2 linked regions of the Notamacropus eugenii genome follow. The protein of the gene in region 2 binds, or shares a complex with, the protein of the main gene of each other region. Links are inferred from orthologs where the notes say so. Each region holds a gene or a part of one and is shown on either strand. Other genes may lie near its edges.

Region 1 (9,974 bases), on a different chromosome or scaffold from region 2:
TAATAATAACAGATGACATCAAGAGAGTGTCTTAAACTTTACAAAACACTTTGCATGTTATTATTACTTTTCATTTCATTCTTACAATAACCTGTGAGGTTGGTGCTATTATTGTCCCCATTTTACAGATGAAGAAATTGAGGCAGATAGTGATGAATGGACTTGTCCATAGTCACATCACTAATAAATATCTGAGGCAGGATTTGAACTCATGTCTTCCCGACTCCAAGTCCACTGCAATAGCCATCTAGCTGCTTCTCATTTCAAGTTAGAACTGGAAGGTGCAATAGTTCAAACTCCTAATTTTATATATGAGGAAACGTAGGTCCAGATAGGTAAACAGATTGCTCAAGGTCATGTATAGCATCAGTTAGCCAAACTGGGATTCTAACCAAAGTCCTCCAAGTTGTATGAACATTTAGCTGTATCTATAAGTAATACATCAAATCAAAATGCAATGATGAAAAATCAGGGCATTTTGTCATTCTTTCTGCCCCCATCAGCTTTTCCTGCCCATCTTCCCTCTAGACACACTTTTCATTACTTTGGTGCTAGGGATCTCTTCACTTTAGGATTTGATTTGTGAGTGTCTTATGAGTGTGATGAAGCCATATAATGAGTGTGTGTTCTAGTATCTTTTCCTAATGACTATTATAAATTTGTAAATGTCATATACTGATAAAAAATAAAATGAAGTGAGAAAAAATGCTTTGTCTTGGAAGAAAGAAATAATAATTTAAATGAATTATGTAATGATTATAGCTGATTTTTTTTGCTTTGTCACTTTTAATTTGGATTTTTACTCATATTTGGCAGTTTAAAATAATACTAACACATTGCAGTTACTTTATTCTTCATTTCATATGTCTTTATTCAAATTTTGGCTGGTCTTACAGCATGTTTTTATATGTTGTGTTGTATATGTTATTTAATAAAATTAAATGTCTTTAGTTGGGCAATAATTCTAGAAAATACACCATCCCTCCCTTTTATACAGAGAGCATAATTATTACTATGAATATTCTAACATAAAAACAGAGAGGAAAATGGATGGTTTACAGATGGCAAATAATCATCTTAATTCTTTGTCACTTTTATTTAATATCATTTACCCATTTCTATTATATTGTGGGTACTTTAGGTTGAGAAAAACCCAGGACCCTGTCTGTAGTTTTGAATCTCTTCTGCACCTTTAAATGGATGGAAAATATTCTTGAGCACTGCTCTTATCCTTATGTTCCAACCTCTCTCCCCACTTTAGCTCCCCATCTCCCTCTCCCCCAAAGGTGATGGATGACTGTTTGGTGAAGGTAGTTAGAAGAGCTACAGTAGTCTAACTTTTTCCATATTGCTGGCTCAGCCATGGATCATTACAGATTATATATAAAGCCACATTTATGTGATATTAGCATTAAAATCATATTGGGGCAAAAGATGTATTTATTTTAAAATCTTTTCTTGATGTCTTTTGTCTTTACATGTCTTTATAGTTGTTGGGGGATATAGTAAGTCTGTGCTCTCTAGATTAAAACCTTCCTTATTACAACAATAAAAAAAACAATTAAGCCAAAACAAAATATACTGTGCGAGTGACATCTGCCAGTGTCTTCTGTTCTAGTAGTCACCCACTTCTCTGCCATGCTAAATGAGTTATATTTTATTATCTGTTCTTTAGGTCCTTCAGTGACTTTTCATCATTTGGCTTCCTTTAGTGGTCTTTTAATGTATCTTGTTATAGTCATTATTCTGGTTCTACTTGCTTCACTTTGTATCAGTTTATTGAAATCTTCCTATTCCTCAGAGTTGTTGTATTTGATATTTCTTAGTACACAACAAAATTTTATTATATTCATGTAACACAATTTTTCTAGCCATTCTTCAGATGTTGGGCAGCTATATCATTTTCATGTTTTGTTATTTATTTGTTTGTTTGTTTCCTGTCACAGAGTGTTACTTTGAATATTTTGGTATATATTGGACCTTTAATTATGCCATTGACTTGCTTGGGATATATGCCTGGGATATAGAACTGAACATAAACCTAGAAGGGCCCATAAAGATCATTTAAGTCAACTTCTCATGTTTTACAGATGAAGAAACTGAGTCCCTCACATTCCTGAGAGGTAGGGACTATAGGTATTATTATCCTCATTTTATAGAGAAGGAAACTGAGATTAAGTGGTTTGTCCCTATTCTTACCTAGTAAATATCAGAGGCTATTTTAAGACCTATATTTCTGCAGACTTCAAGTCTAGCATTCTCCATTATGCCACACTGCCTTTCATATTACCCAACTGTTTACCAGTGAATATACCTGCTGAGCAGATGTGTATGTGGTTAACAAATTATTTTTATTATCAGCCAGCATTTATATAGCATCTACTATATGCCAAGCACAGATATGCTTTGCAAATAATGTCTCATTGATCCTCACAATAAGCCTGGAATGTAGATGCTATAATTAACCCAATTTTGTACTTAAGAAAACTGAAGGAAATGGAGGTTAAATGACTTGCCTGAGGTCACCCAGCTGATAAACATCTAAGACTATGTTTAAATTCTGGTCTTTCTTATTTCTAATTTCTGGTCTTTTCTGGTCTAGAATTCTACCCATGAATACCCCGAGTATTAGTATATGTTAGGAAAATCTTTAATTTCCCAAACCTAGACCAAAAAGCAAGGAATCAAGCAACAAATATTTTTGCACATTAGCTATGATGTTTCACATGTATACTCTATAAAGCAGAACCCACACCAGGGGTCAGTGAACTTATTTTTTGATTACTGTATTTCAATATAATCAGTTTCCTTTGTAATCTTAGGTCATTTATTTTTTGCCTTTAAAATATGATCCTGAGAAGAGATCCATAGGTATCACCAGATTGCCAAAGGGGTCTATGGTACAAAAAGGTTAAGAATTCCCTCTCTAAAGTCAGATAAAAATATACAAACCTATAAGCAAGACAAAATTTATTTTTCAGCATAAAACTCTTATTTTAGTAGCTTGACTATGTATTCATCTGATAAATGTTTCCCTTAAGATTTAAAAAAAAAAAATTACCTGCAATGGAAACCATTGATTGCCAGCCTGAATATGCATAAAATCCTTGGAAAAAGGCTTCTGGAATCTGAGAGATATTTGGAAGGTCAGAACTGAAAGCATTCCCCAACCTGATCAAATTCTCCTTTCTCATTACCAACAATATAACTCCGTTTAAGGCAATAAGGCAAAGAACTGTTGTCTTCATCATTGTACTGACTGTCTGAAACCAAGTTACTTTTTTCACACCTTGAACACCGAGGATTCCCAGAGACCACAAAATGGCCAAAGCTAAGCATTTTTTGGGCAATGTTGGTGCAGAACACCCAGGATAGAAAGGCTGAATAACATACTCAGCCAACAATAAGGTTCGACTAGCAAGTCCTGCTGGTGTTGTAAAGAAACTGGTCCAGAAGCAGAAGAAAACAAAAGGAGATCCCAGGGATCTTTTGAGGAAATAGTATTGAGCTCCACTTCGAGGGAAAGTTGTGCCCACCTCAGCATAAGTAAGGGCTGTTATCATGGACACCGCTGCACAAGCAGCCCAGATACTCAGTGTGACACCCACATGGAGGGAGGAATATTTCAGCACTCCTTTGGGAGCTATGAAAATTCCTGCACCTATTACACTACTGAGTAAGAAAGTCACCCCGTGGAAATATCCAATTGCCCTTTGGAGCTGTGTCTTGTTCATTTTGTCCATTTCTTCAGTCCAGAGAAGGCCTTTTAAAGTTTCTTCTGCAATCACTCTTTTGTATACTCCTTGCTATGCTTTTGAAATCTGTCCCAAAAAACTCCCAGTAGTGAAACCATTAGATCCTTTTGATTTAGTCACTGTATACTACATGAGTTTCATTTTATTATACTACTTCATGACTTAAAAATGATTAACATGAAACAGTTTACCTATGAAATTTGTGATATGTTTAAATTCCTAGTTAACATGTTTTATCCATTAGACATTAAAACTTGCATTACTTGTCAAGGAATTTGTAGATTTTCCATTGGTGGTGCAGCATTTTTAATGTTTAACACTAAACAAGAATTAAGAAAGAACTAAATGCATGGTGGTTCAGCGTTTTTAGATATTCCATGGTTAGCTATTGGATTAGGATAGTTCCTTGGCCAGCTATGATTTGCACCTCAAACATTTACTAGCTTTGTGACCCTGGGCAAGTCATTTAACCCTGTTTGCCTCAGTTTCCTCATCTGTAAAATAAGTTGGAGAAGGAAATGGCAAATCATTCTAGTATCTTTGCTAAGAAAACCCCAAAATCACAAAGAGTCAGACACAACTGAAACAACTGAACAACAACAATAGAGTTAGAGGAGTTTGGTTCAAATCCTACCTCTCATAGTTATTACCTTGGGCAAATTACTTAACCTTCTCAGGCTTCTTTCCTCTTTTGCTAAATGTACAATGGACCAGATGGCCTCAGAAATCCCTTACAGTTCTAGATCTTTGAGGCAATGAGTCCCTCTCCTCTCACTCTCTGAGAGAGCATATGTAAATTTAAATTTATTCTGTTCTTTAAAGTTTATTTAATAATAGTGCTGCTTACACACAGATTTGATTTACCATAACTTCTCTGAGTTGTGTACTTAATTTTTTGTGAATAAGGAGTTATCAGACATGAGTCTGACATGAGAGGCAGCCCAGATAGTGGTGCAGAAATGAGACAGAAGGTCCTCAATGCAGCAGATGGTTAACTGTTGAGGATTCAGTTGACTGGTGATCAAATAGGAGAAAACTGTTTTCTTTTGCTACTCCCCCCTTGATTTTCCTCAGCATAATTTGTGACCTAGAGCTAGGGTCCTCTTAGTCCAAATCCCTGATCTGGAGGTACACAGATCACACCCAAAGAATGAGGAAGGCATGCAGAAGGAGGTCTTTAGAGATGGCTGGAGTGGAAGGCTTGGGAGAACTTAACCATTTCCCTTCCACTTTTTATATGCTTAATCTGCCAGTGACTATTCTGGAATAGTCTCTATATATACAATGACAAAAACAAAGATTCCCTGCTTCAAGGCACTTACAGTTTAGTTTGGGGGATAATAGGTATATATAGGACATGGATATTTTCAAAATAGGTAAGAAATGGATTCAAGATAACTTAGGGGGAGAGGTCCTAAAAGCTGGTGGATGGGGATCAGAAAAGGCCTCATGTGGAAGGTATGGCTTGAGTGAGTCTTGAAGAAAACTAGGGACTGAGAAATGAAATTGAGGAGGAAGTGCATTCCAAGTACCAAGGATAGCCAATGCAAAGGCATCAGGATGGAATGCCATGTGTGAGAAACAGCAAGAATGTCAATTTGGCTGGATTATAGAAGGAGCAACTGGAGTAAAGCCAGAAAAGTTAGAGACAGATTGTTTCAGGCATTAAACGTCAAACAGAGTTTATATTTGAGCCTAGAGATAATAGAGAGTCTTTAGTGACATACTTCTATTTCCACTTCAGGAAAATCAATTTGGCAGTTGAGTGGAAGATGGATTGGAGTGGGAAGAAACTTGAGCAGGATGACCAAAAAAGAGACAATTGTGTTAGTTCAGGCAAGAAGGCCAGAATCAATTAAGGTGGTGGCAGTGTGAGTGTAGATAAAGCAATAAATGCAAGAGGTGCTGTAGAGATTAAAATAAGATTTCAGTAAACCACTCAGTCATAGTGTATGGAGTACAGGTCCTGAAAATGGGGTTTTCAGGGGTTTTTATCATATGGAAAAAGTTCAGTTATGAGGTAGGGGGTTCTAGAGCTTTATATTTTATATTTTTTATATTTGGAATAATAATCCATATCATCCCCTAGCTAACATTTGAACTCAATCAGGATGGGTTTAAACAGATGAATGTTGCCAGTATTGGAAACTAGCAACAAGATGTCTGTAAACTAAATGTGCTCTGTTGACCAGTGGGGATACTGTAGTCTATTAAAAAGGCTATAGTGCCATAGAGGAACTGAGGTAAGTATGGATCAATATGGATCAAGAAGGGTACCCTGTGACAAATTCACTTAATGAATAATTATGCTCACTTGCTGGATAATAACACAGTAACATACTATCATCCTACAGGTTTAGGAAAGGCAACACATAGACCAGTTTGTAATTCTCCGTTACTGCAATGATTCACATATCATGTTCAGGTTTCTCATTATCGTGAAATAATTCTTTTTGTTACTTGTAAACCAACTCTGCAAATTCTTCTATCTGTTCCTCCAAGAATCTACAAACCAACATTTCATTTAGTTTCAACTTCCTTTCTGAAATTTCAGTTATAATTAGAATGTCAATATTGATATAATTCATTTTGTCAAGATATTGTTTTCCAGAGCTAAGGCCCAACAAACAAGCCGTTCCCTGAACTTAACATAACAACAATCCTTTGCTCTCACCCTTTAGATTATCTCAGCCACAGCAAAATCCCAGAATTGGGATTTATTATTTTCATATTAATCTCTATTTGCCAGAGGATTCTGTCCTGAGAGCTGGTGTTACAGCTCACATGCTGTAGCAGAAAGTAATCATTCAAATCTTCTGACACTCTAAAGAATCCCTGAGCCTGTAACTGCTAAGTGAACTGAACCAGGTACTGCATTCCTCTTCCTGCCACACTAACTCTGATTCTGTACCCTGCTGAACAACTACAAGGTTCAATGACCCTTAAGACTTGAGACAATCACAAGGCTAAATGATTCTAATAACTTACAGACTGTTCCCATGGAACACCTCTATTGTCATCTGTGGGAACTGTTTACTCAAGACCTATGAATGGCTGTATTGGATCCTGCCTTTTTGTGATTTTCATGCTTAAAAACTCCACCCCTGCCACAAACCACAAACCCTCCTCAGGAGGACTTCTACTTGTAAACGTTTTCCTCACTTTGAAATTAAACTTCTGTTTGATTTCTGACTCTTGTTTTTCTGCCTGCTTTGTTCAGCTCTGGCCACCCACAGGTTAGAGACTAGTTCTGAGCTGGTTGACAAATTCCTCCAATACTATGTCAATTCACCAATGATTGCACAAGAATCATACACTTAAAATACCATCATAGGATCATGTATTTGAAAGGACCATTAATGGAAGGACCATTAGAGGTCTCTCATTTTACAGGCTAGGGAAAAGATGTTCAGAGAGGTAAAGAAATTTGCCCAAGGTCACAGGGCATTAAGGGGCAGAACCAGGATATAAATCCAAGTTTTCTAATTCTATATTAGGGCATCTTTTCACTCTCTCAACTAAGAATCACATGGTTCAAAAAACCATGTGATTTTTTTTTAAGCACTTCTGAACCCTTTTTTGCCATACTGCCATTGCCACTGCACAAGACTTAAAGCCACTTTGTGTTTGTCTTTGTTTCATTGGTTGCTATGGCCAAGTCTTTAGTCACTAAGTGGGTTTACTGTTGATGGGCCATTCGGCACTTGACTAGGATGCCTTTAAAAAGCAGTACTCATCCATCATTGTACTCTAAGCTTTTTGGCATGACAGAAACTTCCAGAATTTGCACTGGGTTAGCCTTTGATAACCCAATATCATCTCCATGCCACGCTAAAGAATTGTAGTAGGACTTTTGTGGACCATCATATCAAAAATAAGAAGACAGGGAATTATTAGAAGAAACGTAAGGAAAGGATCTTATCTGGTGGCAACTTTCTTAGGCTCATTAAGACTTCAGCAGAGAGAAGGGATTTAACTGACCTTGTAATCCTATATTATGTTGACTCCTAGAAGGATAAAACAACTTCTCAGAAATATGCAAATGGAAAAAGTACTTTAGGAGAGACTATATTTCTCTCAGATCAGAGGACAGAAATGATACAAAGCCTAGAGTTCTTATGATGTCTCCCATATGTTACAACATCTTCTGTTCTTAACATTTTGTTCTTAAAAATTAAAATAGGAAGGGGGCGGAGCCAAGATGGCGAAATAGAAAGACGCACATACACATAGCTCCGAACCCACAAACCACAGAACGGCTAGAGGGGACCAAGCCAGGGCGAATTCTGCACCCAGAGACCACGGACTATTGGAGCGAGGGAGATTTCTGCTCCAGAGAGACCTGCAAACCTCTCGCGGGGGGTCCTTCGCGCCGTGGACTGGGTGCCGGGACGGGGAGCAGAGTACAGCCCTGCCGCGGCCACGCCACCGAGAGGAAAAGATCCGAGAGGGCTACGGGGATGGGATATCCAGTGGCCACGCGGGTCCCCCCACCCACAGAGGGACCTGCAAACCTCTCACAAAAGGTCCATCGTGCTGCAGACGCGGAGCCCAGCCCGGACCTGCGGCGGTGGCGGCTGCGGCCGCGGCTCCGAGAGGCACAGATCTGAGAAGGCTCCAGAGACGGAATCTTCAGCAGCGGCACAAGCCCCCCCATCAACAGGAGACTGACGGGGGTAGGTGAGAGAGTCTCTTTGGCGGGTTGAGAGGGGAGTGGGGTGCCCCCATGGCTCGGGCCCCCCCAGGAGATAGAAGCTGAGAGGCGGCTGCAGACAGGGGCTCCCCAAATGGGCGGGAGCCTGGATCCATTGTGGAAGGTCTGTGCATAAACCCCCTGAGGGAACTGAGCCAGAGAGGCGGCCCTGCCCATGACCTCAGCACCTGAACTTAATTTAACACTGAATAGCAGCCCTGCCCCCGCCAAAAACCCTAAGGTGGGAAGCAGCATTTGAATCTCAGTCCCCAAACGCTGGCTGGGAGGACCAGGAGGCGAGGTGGGTGTGAGGAGAACATTCAGAGGTCAGGCCACTGGATGGAGAGAATGCCAAGAAAAGGGAAAAGAAATAAAACTATTGAAGGGTACTTTAGCGGAGAAAAGACACTTCCTCCCTTCCTTTCTGATGGGGAGGAACAATGCTTGCCATCAGGCAAAGACACAGAAATCGAGGATTCTGTGTCCCAGCCCACCCAATGGGCTCGGGCCATGGAAGAGCTCAAGAGGAATTTTGAAAATCAAGTTAGAGAGGTGGAGGAAAGACTGGGAAGGGAAATGAGAGGGATGAGGGAGAAGCATGAAAAGCAGATCAGCTCCCTGCTAAAGGAGAACCAAAAAAATCTTGAAGAAATTGGCACCTTGAGAACTAGCCTAACTCAGCTGGCAAGGGAGGTGCAAGGGGCCAATGAGGAGAAGAATGCTTTCAAAAGCAGAATTAACCAAATGGAAAAGGAGATTCAAAAGCTCACTGAGGAAAATAGATCTTTCAAAACTGGAATGGTACGATGGACGCTAAGGACTTTATCAGAAAGACAGATATCTCAGAACATACCGCGCAGATTCGAAAAATGGAAGATAACGTGAAATATCTTATTGGAAAAACAACTGACCTGGAAAATAGAATCAGGAGAGACAATGTAAAAATTCTGGGACTACCTGAAAACCATGATCAAAAGAAGAGCCTAGACATCATCTTCCATGAAATTATCAAGGAAAACTGCCCTGAGATTCTAGAACCAGAAGGCAAAATAAATATTCAAGGAATCCGCAGAACACCGCATGAAAGAGATCCAAAAAGAGAAACTCCTATGAGCATTGTGGCCAAATTCCAGAATTCCCAGGTGAAAGAGAAAATATTGCAAGCAGCTAGAAAGAAACAATTCAAGTATTGTGGAAATACAATCAGGATAGCACAAGATCTGGCACCCTCTACATTGAGGGATAGAAGGGAATGGAATAGGATATTCCAGAAGTCAAAGGAACTAGGACTGAAGCCAAGAATCACCTACCCAGCAAAACTGAGTATAATACTTCAGGAGAAAAAATGGTCTTTCAATGAAATAGAAGACTTTCAAATTTTCCTGATGAAAAGACCAGAGCTGGAAAGAAAATTTGACTTTCTAACACAAGAATGAAGAGAACCATGAAAAGGCGAACAGCAAAGAGAAGTCATAAGGGACTTACTAAAGTTGAACTGTTTACATTCCTACATGGAAAGACAATAT
Region 2 (10,318 bases):
GAAAAGCAAACACAGAAACATATCAGAAAGCAAAGAAACAAAAGCCCAAAGCCCAAAATGTAACAGTTCCTTCAAGGAATCATTCAATATGGGAGATCAAAGACCTGAAATTCCTGGCTTCACTCCCTGCCTCCTTGGAAACCAAGTCCTGGATCTAAATGATCAGGTCCACATTGTGGACAAAACCATAATTTTGTAGTTCCTCGTGGGGCTCTCAATGTAGAGCAAAGACCATAAGCAGGAGCTTCAGGCAAAGATGATACCACTTCTTGCCTAGTTACCAGGGTTCCTCGTAGGACAGCAAATTGCCCTATACCACCCATCTACTTGGTGTTCCCTGGTCCATCATCCAGCGCCTCCCCGTCCCTGAAGCCCTATGATGGGGGTAGCATTCAAAATCTTCTTCACATAAAACACTCCTCATGAACTTCCCCTTTATTCTTTGGGGGCTGGATAAATAGCGCCTTTCACTACTACTCTCCTCATTGCCAGAAAGCAAACTACCTCCCAACAATGCCACTTCTGGGGCCTCCTCCTACCGGAAGATGAATTGTACAGTGATCATTGGATGGTGTATGGTCAACATTGTAGAGGGGCCAATCAATTCCAGATTACAGTATGCCATGGGCTACAGTGGATCTGTCTTTGCTCATGTTCATTCCCAGTGCCCATTCTGCCTTGTGGGAAAGGCTGCTGGGAGCTATTTCATTGTATACAGCTGTCCTGTGTTTCTGCTTGCTGCCCCCTACCCTAACCCCAGGCAACCACCCCTGCAATCTACATCTTTGCCTGCTGTCTCTTGGCCATCATCCCTGGAGCACACATCTTTGCTCACCACCCCATTCTGCCAGGATGAACTTCACCTCTGTCCTGGGATAGGACAGCTGACACTACCAGGCCCTGAGCCCTGATGCCTTATGCTCAAGGTATTGAGCCCTGTTCTCTTGCCATCACTGGGGAATAACTCCACTCCATCATGGCAGGCATCACTCTGCTTTGCTGAGGGCCTAGGCTGCCACTGCCCTCCTGTGGTTGGTAGGAATACTGTAGGCCACACGGAGGCTACATGCTACAGGCCTAGAGTCCCTGCCCTTGGCTGGTCTACCAAAAGTAATGAAGTCAATAACTGCCACATGGAATGGATCAGGCAACTCCAAAAGATTCTGACCTATCATGTCAGGGCTTAGGTTCCCCTTCCTAAAGGTCCTTCTTTCTCAGGCAAGAAATTTCTCCTTTTTCCAGTGACTTCCAGCTGAGGGACCCCTTGACATCTTTCCTTGACTTTCCATCTTGACCATTCAGGATATCCCAGTCATAATGGTGCCCTCAGGAATAAGAATGTCCAGCTCAGGAAAATAAAGGAAAAAAAAAAGACACAAACCCAGAGATATTCCTCTGGGCCAGTACCTGTTCTCTTATCTGTCATGTGTAAGTAGTAACCATTTCTGCCAGGATGGGGCCAGGTACCTGGGCCTTGAGCTTTGCCAGGGCCCCTCCTAGAATTCTCCAGAGAGAATTATAGGTCATAGCTCAAGAGTGACAGTGTATCTTTTAAAAACTGACAGAGCTGTCTTAGCAGATTAGCCGGGATACACTGTGGACCCACTTTTCCACATCCCCAATTTCAGAAATGTCTCTGGGTTCCTTGACAGAATTAAGCATGAACTTTCACATGCCTCCCCCGTTGACTTGCACCAAAGAATTACAAAGAAGTCTGTGTTACAATTCTGGGTGGTCTCTCTAATGTCAACGAAACAACAATGATAAAAGACAAAATGAAAAACCTCAAAACTCCCTGTGGTGTATTGTTAGACAATCCTAAAGTCTTCCTGAGATGGATTTTTCTGTCATTGTTGGGGTACCTCAGCCACCCCTCAACTGAGGACTGCTTGTTCAGCTGCATTACCCTGGCCAAAAATCCATTAAAAACCTAATAATTCTTGCCTTATTTGCCCACAAATATGACTCCCTTAAAGCCGGAAAGGACTTTTTTATAGTAGACCTCCAAGACCATTAGTGATACAAAGGCATCCAAGCTCCAGCAAAGGGAGTTCACACTGCATTCTTTAGTAGGGAAGTGTCCCCACAATATTAGCTGAGCTTAAAACTTCACTCAAAGTTTTGGGACACCGTGTTTGTCCTTTTCTAGTGAGGAAAAAATCATTCTCTATTCCATTTAGTTAAGTTGAATTCAATTTAGTGAGGGGATTTCCTTAGAACTCAGTTTACATTCAAAACATCCCTTTGTCGGACCTTGGAGGACGCTTAAATTGCCAAGCTGGAAGGCCCAGGGACAACACAGATGATGGGTCTAAAAGACAGCTTACTACAATTGTCTTTAATGAGGAAGAGTTCTTAAGGACATAGAGAATATTCACATCTGTCATGTACTCTTCTACTGGGTGGCCTCCTGGCTGTTTCACCAACAATACAATCTAGCTCTTGGCTCTGGGTATTTTCTCTGACTGTCCCCCATGCCTGGGCTTCTCCCTCCTCAACTCCATTTCCTAGTTTCCTTTAAGTCTCAACTAAAAGTGTGTGTGCGTGTGTGTGTGCATGTGTGGTGTTTGCACGTCTTCTCCCCCATTACATTGTGAGCTCTCTAGGGCCAAGGATTGTCTTTTGCCTCTTTTTATATCCCCAGGGCTTAGCACAATGTCTGATACATAGTAGGTGCTTAATAAATGTTTGGGGGCAGTTATGTAGGTGTAGTAGATAGAGTGCTGGAATTGGAGTCAGGGAGACTCATTTTCCTGAGTTCAGATCTGGCTTCAGACACTAGCTGTGTGACCCTGGCCAAGTCACTGAAACCTATTTCCTCATCAGTAAATTGAGCTGGAGAAGAAAATGGCAAACCACTCCATTATCTTTGTCAAGAAAACCCCAAATGGAGTCACAAAGAATCAGATAAGACTGACCAATAAGATCAAGGTTTCCCATAAAGGTGATTTTGCACTTGAGATAAGAGAGTAAACTGCCTTCCTATCAGACCTGTACAGTCCCAATGACTCATAGGCAGCTGGGGGCACAGTGGATAGAACACTGGGCTTAGAATCAGGAAGATTCATCTTTATGGATTCAAATCTGATCTCAGACACTTCCTAGCTGTGTGACCCTAGATAAGTTACTTAACCCTATTTGCCTCACTTTCCTTATCTGTAAAATGAGCTGGAGAAAGAAATGGCAAACCACTCCAGTATCTTTGCCAAGAAACCTCAAAATGGAATCATGGAGAGTAGGACAGGACTGAACATCATCATCAACAGCCATCTAAAACCTCATCATCCATCATCATCCATTCATTAGAACCTGCCCCTTCCTGAGAGCCTCATGGTGGGGTAATGGGATATAAAATCTTCTCCACATGAGAGGGCTCTAAGGGACTGCCCCCTTCTTCTGTGGGGGCTGGGTAGATACTTTCAGTACCCCTTTGCTGCTAGAACCCTCCTGGGGAAGGACTCCTGTTTAGAGATCACTGGGTGTTATTGTACTGGCAGTAATGTTGAGTTTATGTGTGTGTGTGTGTGTGTGTGTGTGTGTGTGTGTGTGTGTGTGTGTGTGTGTGTGTGTGCGCGCGCGCACCTGCGCGTATAGTCAGGTGCTGGACTTACTCTCCCAACCCACTTTTAATACACATGTTGATATGTCTAACATAAAATGGTGAACCTGAGTGTGATATGGATAGATATCATATCAGGGATCTAGAAAGCCCCTTCCATATCTCTTTGTGGATAGTAGGAGGGCCTATACTTGTCCTTTAAAGGTAGCCTAGAGGGTAGGAGCAGCACATGGGACCACTGAGCAATCTTTTCTTCCTGTTCCTATTTCTAAGGGGGTGGGGGTGGGGTATTGGGCTAGAATTATACTTCTCTGTGTTTAACTTAGGAATAAGTTTGAGGCTTTTTGTTTACCCTCCACCTGGTTTAGCCCATCTCTTGAGACAGTTTTAGTAGGGTATGGCCACTGCACTTGCTACAGATTCTTGGAGCCAAAGGTGAGAGTAGGGTGAAGATGAACAGCAAAGGTTGATGAGTAGTCCTGAGAAAGGCTGGGCAGCAGGCCCTCCCTCTAATCCTCCCTGATCACCCCATACACCCTACACAAACAGCAAAGCTTATCTAGCACACATCAGCTATGTCTAGGGGTGTGTCCTCCTTTGAGGGACTTTCTGTGTTCTTAAGAAGAGGGTAACCCTTATCTTCCTCTCATTAGCATATGTCCCTGTCACCAACTGGTGGTTACACAAAAGACAACAGAATAGCTTTTTAGCAAAGTAAATTATGAACAGAAATGGGGGAGTTTATAGATATTAGGTTACATCAGAGTAAACTAGCTCTTTGATTTGGAATTAAGATAGAATCTCAGCTCATCCAAGGCAAAAACAACCTCACCCAGGAAGTCCACTCTTTGTAATCTCTAGTGTTGTACAAATTACAGATCAAGGGACTTGGTGGGGGCTGGCTTCCCCGGCCGCCCGTCTGCCTGTCTGTGGCTAAAGGGAGATTTCCTGTCTGCTAGTCAAGTTTGCCCTCTCTTCTCCCCTGTTCTCTCTGGAACTCTCCACTTCTCTCAGTAGTCCCTCCAAAGATTAAGAAGTTTTTCCTTCACTTATGCATCTAAATAGTATGAAGGGCTTTGCAATCTCTCAGCCACTTAGGATCCACATTTTCTCTCTCCATTCTCCTTTCCCCCCACATCCCCAGGCAAGGAGAGCCACTCACTGTCCCTCTGGGATCTGCCAAAGCTGCCTCAGGTGGGGTTGGTGCAACAATTTTCTCCAGTCAACGTAATTATGTATTTAAAGCCAGGGGACAAAGGAGATAAAAACTGGTTAATTGCTTATTTTATTGTTTCTACTCCAAATTTTATTCTTTCCTTTAAGAAAAAAAAGCTTAATGTTATCTAGGTAAGTAAGTCATGTCTTTGTTAATGCTTTTAAATAAATGACATACACAATAAGTCATCATTTACAAAAAAGCATGCCATTTTAGATATTTAATTTAGATATAAAATACATCCTTTTTAGTTTACATAAAGGCAGAAACATCAGCATTTTCTACTTACCAATGTTTAAACAGCTCTTTAGTGTAAACATTAAAAGCTATTTACAAAATGCTGCTCTCATGGAAAGTAGGAAGCAATTCATATTACACAGACATAGGAGGGAGTGGTTGTATACATGTACACACCTGTACATATACACACGACACAAATATACAATATGGAACAAAAAGGGCCAAATAATGCATATTTGGTGCATTTATCTCTCTTCTTTTCCTTAAAGCTTAATGCTTTAATTCCTCCCACCCCCACCTTAGACTTACTCGGAAAGTAGAGTCTTTTCTTTCTTTTTTTGAAATCCCTTTTACCTTTACCCTTTCTTTTTCTCTTGTTGAATTTTAACCAGCCAGGTTTATTTATAAACCATACCAAGCTAAATACACCACCAAGCATTTCAGTTAAGCAAGACATTTTTTTGCCTTTGTTTACTGCAAGAAAGCTCCCTCAAAGGAGAAGCAGGAAAAAGATGGCCAAGGATGGAAGTAAGAAAGATTCCATGAGAATGAGTATGAAGGGTCACACCAACAATGGATTTGTGCAAAATGAGGCAGTCACCGAACGAGAAATTGACGGAAGCAACCAGGTCGATTCACTGAAGACAAGTAGTAGTGACATCCATCCCCAAGAGCTCGACCCTATCAAGCCCTATGCAGGGATGCCCAAAGAAGTCCTGCTTCTGTACTCAAGCCAAGCACGGTACAAAATCACCCGAGAGATCCTCTTCTGGCTCATCATTGTAGCTGTGCTTGTGCTCATCAGTTCAACTATTGCAATTATTGCCCTGTCTCCAAAGTGTCTTGAGTGGTGGCAAGTCAGTCCTATATACCAGATCTACCCACGTTCTTTTAAGGACAGCAACCAAGATGGCAATGGTGATCTGAAAGGTTAGTGCCCATAAAGGTTTGTTAGAGCTAATGAAGAAAGTAAAGGTGTAATTTGGTTTTTGTTCTCTCTATATCTCTGGAAGTTTATTATGCCTATGACTGCAAGGGATGGTCAAGATTCTTATTCCTTATAATGGAAAAACTCTCACTAAGCAAGCTTGTCTATTTAACAATACAGGAGTTCATTTGGTTATTGAAAAAGATTACTTGATGGAGACCCTTTGAAAGCCTTTGAGTCAAGGGCAAATAAAAGAATGCTTAGAAGTGTGTCATGAGTACTGGTAGATGTAACTGTTCATTTTTATTGGTTTAATTTGGCATCTCATAACTTCTTATATCTCTTCAGTTTACAGCTAAATGTCATACAATAATCTTTTAACAAGGTTATTCAAATATATGATATGGCTGCTCCTGGCTTACTAACCCTGTCTATCCACCCCTTCCCGCAAACACAGATTTCCTTCAGTAGAACACCCATCAGTAAAAGGAAGCCGAAACTTCCCAGCTTCTCTGCTATGATCTGAAAAAGGTTGATATCATCAGAAAGTGATTTATTACATGTTAATGTTTAGCTTGTTATCTTGATATCATTGATATCATGTGAAGTAGAGAGTTGGAAAATAAAGGGTCTAATTGCAGCCTGGCTAGTACAGAGCCCTGGATTTGGACTCTAGAGATCCTGGCTCCTCTTTTTATAATCTATGACCTTGGGCAAGTTGACTTATACCTCTGTGCCTCAATTTCCTCATCTATACAGTAAGAAAACGGTTCAGTTGGATGGCTTCAAAGGTCCTTTTCAACCTTAGATCTCTAATATCCTAAGTCCTCAAGGCACCTTACCTTACTTGAAGTCCCACCCTAGGCCAAAGGCTACTGAAACAATTGCCAGTGGGGTTATCTGGAGGATCCTCCCTTAACCACACCTTTAGGAATTCATTACCAAAACAGTGAATTACCTTATCTCTAGGGAACAAGAAAGAAATGGGGAGGGGGAAATTTTTCTTTCTAGGGTGGTAAATAAAAAAGCACTAGTTTTATGTGGAAAAACTGGTGAAAGTATGATTTTTAAATATTAAAAACAAAACTTTTACTTTATCCTTACATAATTACATGTGCTGGGGCAGAATGAATGTCAGGCCCTTTGCTGGTTTGTCCAAAGGCCATACAAAGTAGAGCTCCAAAGCCAATAACCAAGAGACAGTGACATCTTAAGAAAAGCCTCTGGGTGGAACACATTAAGAAGGGATTTCTGAACATCAACATATCAAGCATATCGGTTAATTTCGTAAAAGCAGTGAATCCATAGGCTGATTCAGTGGTAGCCCCTAAAATAAAGTGCTGCTGCTTTTTGTGGAAGCCAGGCACAGAAATTCTCCACGGTAGCATTATACCCCAAGTAGCATGTTTTGGAATCAGAGTACCGAAGAGGAGAATGAAGCTTCTCGTCCCAAGGAATTTATTGAATGGCTGTAGATACAGCAATGGGAAAAATAAACACTTATGTGAAAGATTCTTTGGTTTAGGGGACAGCGAATGAACCAATAGAAATATTCTTTGATTTCTTTTAAAAACAGAATTATGATTGGGTATAGGGGTCGGAAGAAGGCAATGCTTTTGCTCCAGAAATATGATTTCATTAGTGATTAGAACTCCAAGTGTGAAAACTCCTTCAACAGACACATATATAACACATCTGTAATGTACGTAGCCTGAGGAAGCTGGTGGCATAGAGGACAGAGCAGTAGGCATAGAGTCAAGAAGACCTGAGTCCAAATTAGATTTCAGATACTTGCTAGCTCTGTTACCCTCCACAAGTCACTTTACCTTGGTTGACCTCAGTTTTCTCAATTGTAAAATAGGGATAATAATAGAATCTACCTCACAAGGTTGCTATGAGAAACAAACCTGGCATACAGTAGGCACTTAATCAATGCTTATTCCCTCTTCTTCCCCTGTTCTTCCCCTTAGGGAGTTGCCTGGGGCCCTGAGAAGTTAAGTCCCTTGTGCAGGGTCATACAGCCTGAGATCAGAAGACCCCAGGTCTTCCTTACTTTGAGGTCTGCTTGATATCCAGTAAATAGTGGTTATGACATATCAAATATATTAACAGCTTTTTAATTAAAATTTGTTGACCATGATGGGTTTCTCACCCATTTGCCCCTTATTTCTGATATTTTTGTAAGGTATGGAAGGTTCAAAGATTATTATCCTTATTTAACACTAAAGAATTAATGAATCTAATTCATTCTAGTAAACATTTTCAAAGCTCTTAGTCCTATGAGCCCAGCATAAAGACAATGTATTATATATATTAGAGGTTCACAGAGGACAGAAGGAATCTAATTAATGGCAGTTCAGAGCCTTCAAGAATCAGATCTATAGTTAAGAGCCAGCATATATATATAGCACTTCACAAATATTACCTCATTTTATCCTCACGACAATCCTGGGAGACAGCCACTATTATTACCCCCATTTTACAGATGGGGCAACTGAGGCAGATAGAAGTTTAAGTGACTTGTCCAAGGTCATACATTTAGTTAGTGTCTGAGGCTAGCCTTAAAAGTAGATTTTCCTCCCTCTAGGCCCAGAGTTCTATCTGCTCCTCCTCTAACTCTCCTCAGGAGAATTAGGAGGAAGAAGAGTACTAAGCCCTAAAGGGATCAGGAGAAGTTTCTATTCTAGAACAAAAGGATCTGTGAACTGAGACTTGGAGGAAGCTAAACATTCAAAGGGTCAGAGGGGAGGAGGGAGTCCATTCCAAGTACAGGGGAGATGGCACGCGAAGCATGAAATGCTGAGGTCAGGGACCTGCAAGTTGGCCAGCCAGCTTGTAAGGTGGAGTGCTTTCAGTCAAGAAGCATTTATTAAAGTGCCTGCTTTGCACTAGGCACAGGGGATACAGAGGCAAAAAGGAACCAAACAGTTCCTGGCCACCTGGGAGTTTACATTCTATAGGTAAAGCCGGCACATATATCTATAAAAAGATATCAGTCATATACAAAATAAATAGAAGGGACTGCAGGGGGGAGGATGGGGATGAGGGGAGGGATGGATTTCTTGGGAGATCAGGAGAGGTCTCCTGTAGGTGGTAGAGCTTGAGATGAGAACTGAAGGTAACCAGGGACCCAAGGGGAGCAAGGAGTGCATTCTGGTCTATACAAAAGCACAGAGACAAGAGAAGGAGTGTCATGGGGGAGGAATAGCCAATGGGCCCATGTGGCCCATGTGTGAAGGGGAGGAACATGTAGTATTTCTGGAAAGGCAGAGAGGAGCCAGATTATGAAAAACCAAAGTTCATGTTTTATTCTAGAGGCAATGGGGAGTCACTGAAACTTCTTGAGCAGGACAATGACATGGTCAGACCTTTAGGAACTTCACTTTGGGAATTATGTGGAGGAGGATTTGGGGGTACAAAGAAGATGTGAATGAGTTAGAGACTCAACCAGGGGCTTCTTCTGGTTGTCCAGGCAAGAGCTCATGAGGTTTTGACCTTAGGGTGATGTCCTTGTGATTAAAGAGAAGGGGTCAGAGGTGGAGGGAGAATGAACAAAACTTGGCAAGCAATTGGATGTGAACATCTTGCATTTCTATGATATCTTGACCTTTACACTTTCCTCTTATAACAAGGTTGTAAGGTCAGCAGTGAGAGTCCCAGAAGAAAGGAGCAACCATTGAGTTAAGGATGATTTGGAGTCTCTTCAGATAATAATAAAAATATGTTGTTCCAGAAAGGGTTTGCCTGGAACTTACATTATATAAAACATAAAGGACTAAATATATATATGTACATATACATACACTATTATCATTATGATCATTGGCATCTCTAACCCTTCCTTCGTTGCTGAAGAAGACCGTATGCCAACAGAGAAAGGATGACATAACTTGCATTTGACTTTGTTTGGAGTGAAGGAGGGCTGTGCAAGGTCGCCTCTTCTCCAACAACTGCTCAACTGATATTCCAGAACACGTAATGTCACTTCTATTGCTCCCTGTTGACTCTAGGATAAAATTCTAGCCCCTCTCTTTCCAATCATGTTGTTCCTTATTTTTCATGATTGATTCTAGATCCTTTCCCTTTGTCCCAGTCAAACTGTCTCCTTGATGTTCCTTCTGAGCCTTCTCAACATCTCTTACCTCTTGGAACTATGACCACCCTCCAAGGCTTAGCGCAAACTAATTTATTCAATCAATTCTGCTCTAATGCTCTTTTTGAAGACTGCAATTTGTTCCAACACCATGGATAACATCAGGGAACAGTTTGCACATAATGTGAATTAGGCTCCATTCCATCCACCAGAAGGGAAATAGCACCACTTCACAGCAATGCCCATTGTAACTCCATCCCACAAGCACACTTCAGGGCTTTG

Evidence for each region.
Region 1: the proteins of SLC3A1 (region 2) and SLC7A13 are in contact, whole or in part, in a cryo-EM structure (PDB 8WK6), measured with the Homo sapiens proteins. The link is inferred for Notamacropus eugenii from reciprocal best matches to the Homo sapiens genes SLC3A1 and SLC7A13. Residues at the interface, in NP_000332.2 of Homo sapiens: Pro64, Tyr65, Ala66, Gly67, Met68, Pro69, Lys70, Leu73, Phe76, Ser77, Arg81, Tyr82, Pro85, Arg86, Leu89, Phe90, Thr93, Ser96, Val97, Leu100, Ile101, Thr104, Ile107, Ile108, Ser111, Cys114, Leu115, Glu194, Asn195, Asp202; in NP_620172.2 of Homo sapiens: Ile120, Phe123, Phe124, Pro125, Ser126, Cys127, Leu132, Pro133, Cys136, Leu137, Leu139, Ala140, Met141, Trp143, Ile147, Arg151, Lys187, Thr265, Arg267, Asp281, Arg282, Glu450, Cys454, Tyr455, Gln457, Leu458, Leu459, Phe460, Asn461, Ile462.

Annotation. Positions count from the first base shown.
Region 1 is NC_092875.1:317,271,365-317,281,338, reverse strand, and holds the start of SLC7A13 (solute carrier family 7 member 13), read right to left. Parts: upstream 3,838-9,974; 5' UTR 3,744-3,837; coding exon 3,062-3,743; intron 1-3,061. UniProt on the Homo sapiens protein: Associates with SLC3A1/rBAT to form a functional heterodimeric complex that transports anionic and neutral amino acids across the apical plasma membrane of renal epithelium.
Region 2 is NC_092872.1:665,479,310-665,489,627, reverse strand, and holds the start of SLC3A1 (amino acid transporter heavy chain SLC3A1), read left to right. Parts: upstream 1-5,443; 5' UTR 5,444-5,527; coding exon 5,528-5,945; intron 5,946-10,318. UniProt on the Homo sapiens protein: Acts as a chaperone that facilitates biogenesis and trafficking of functional transporter heteromers to the plasma membrane.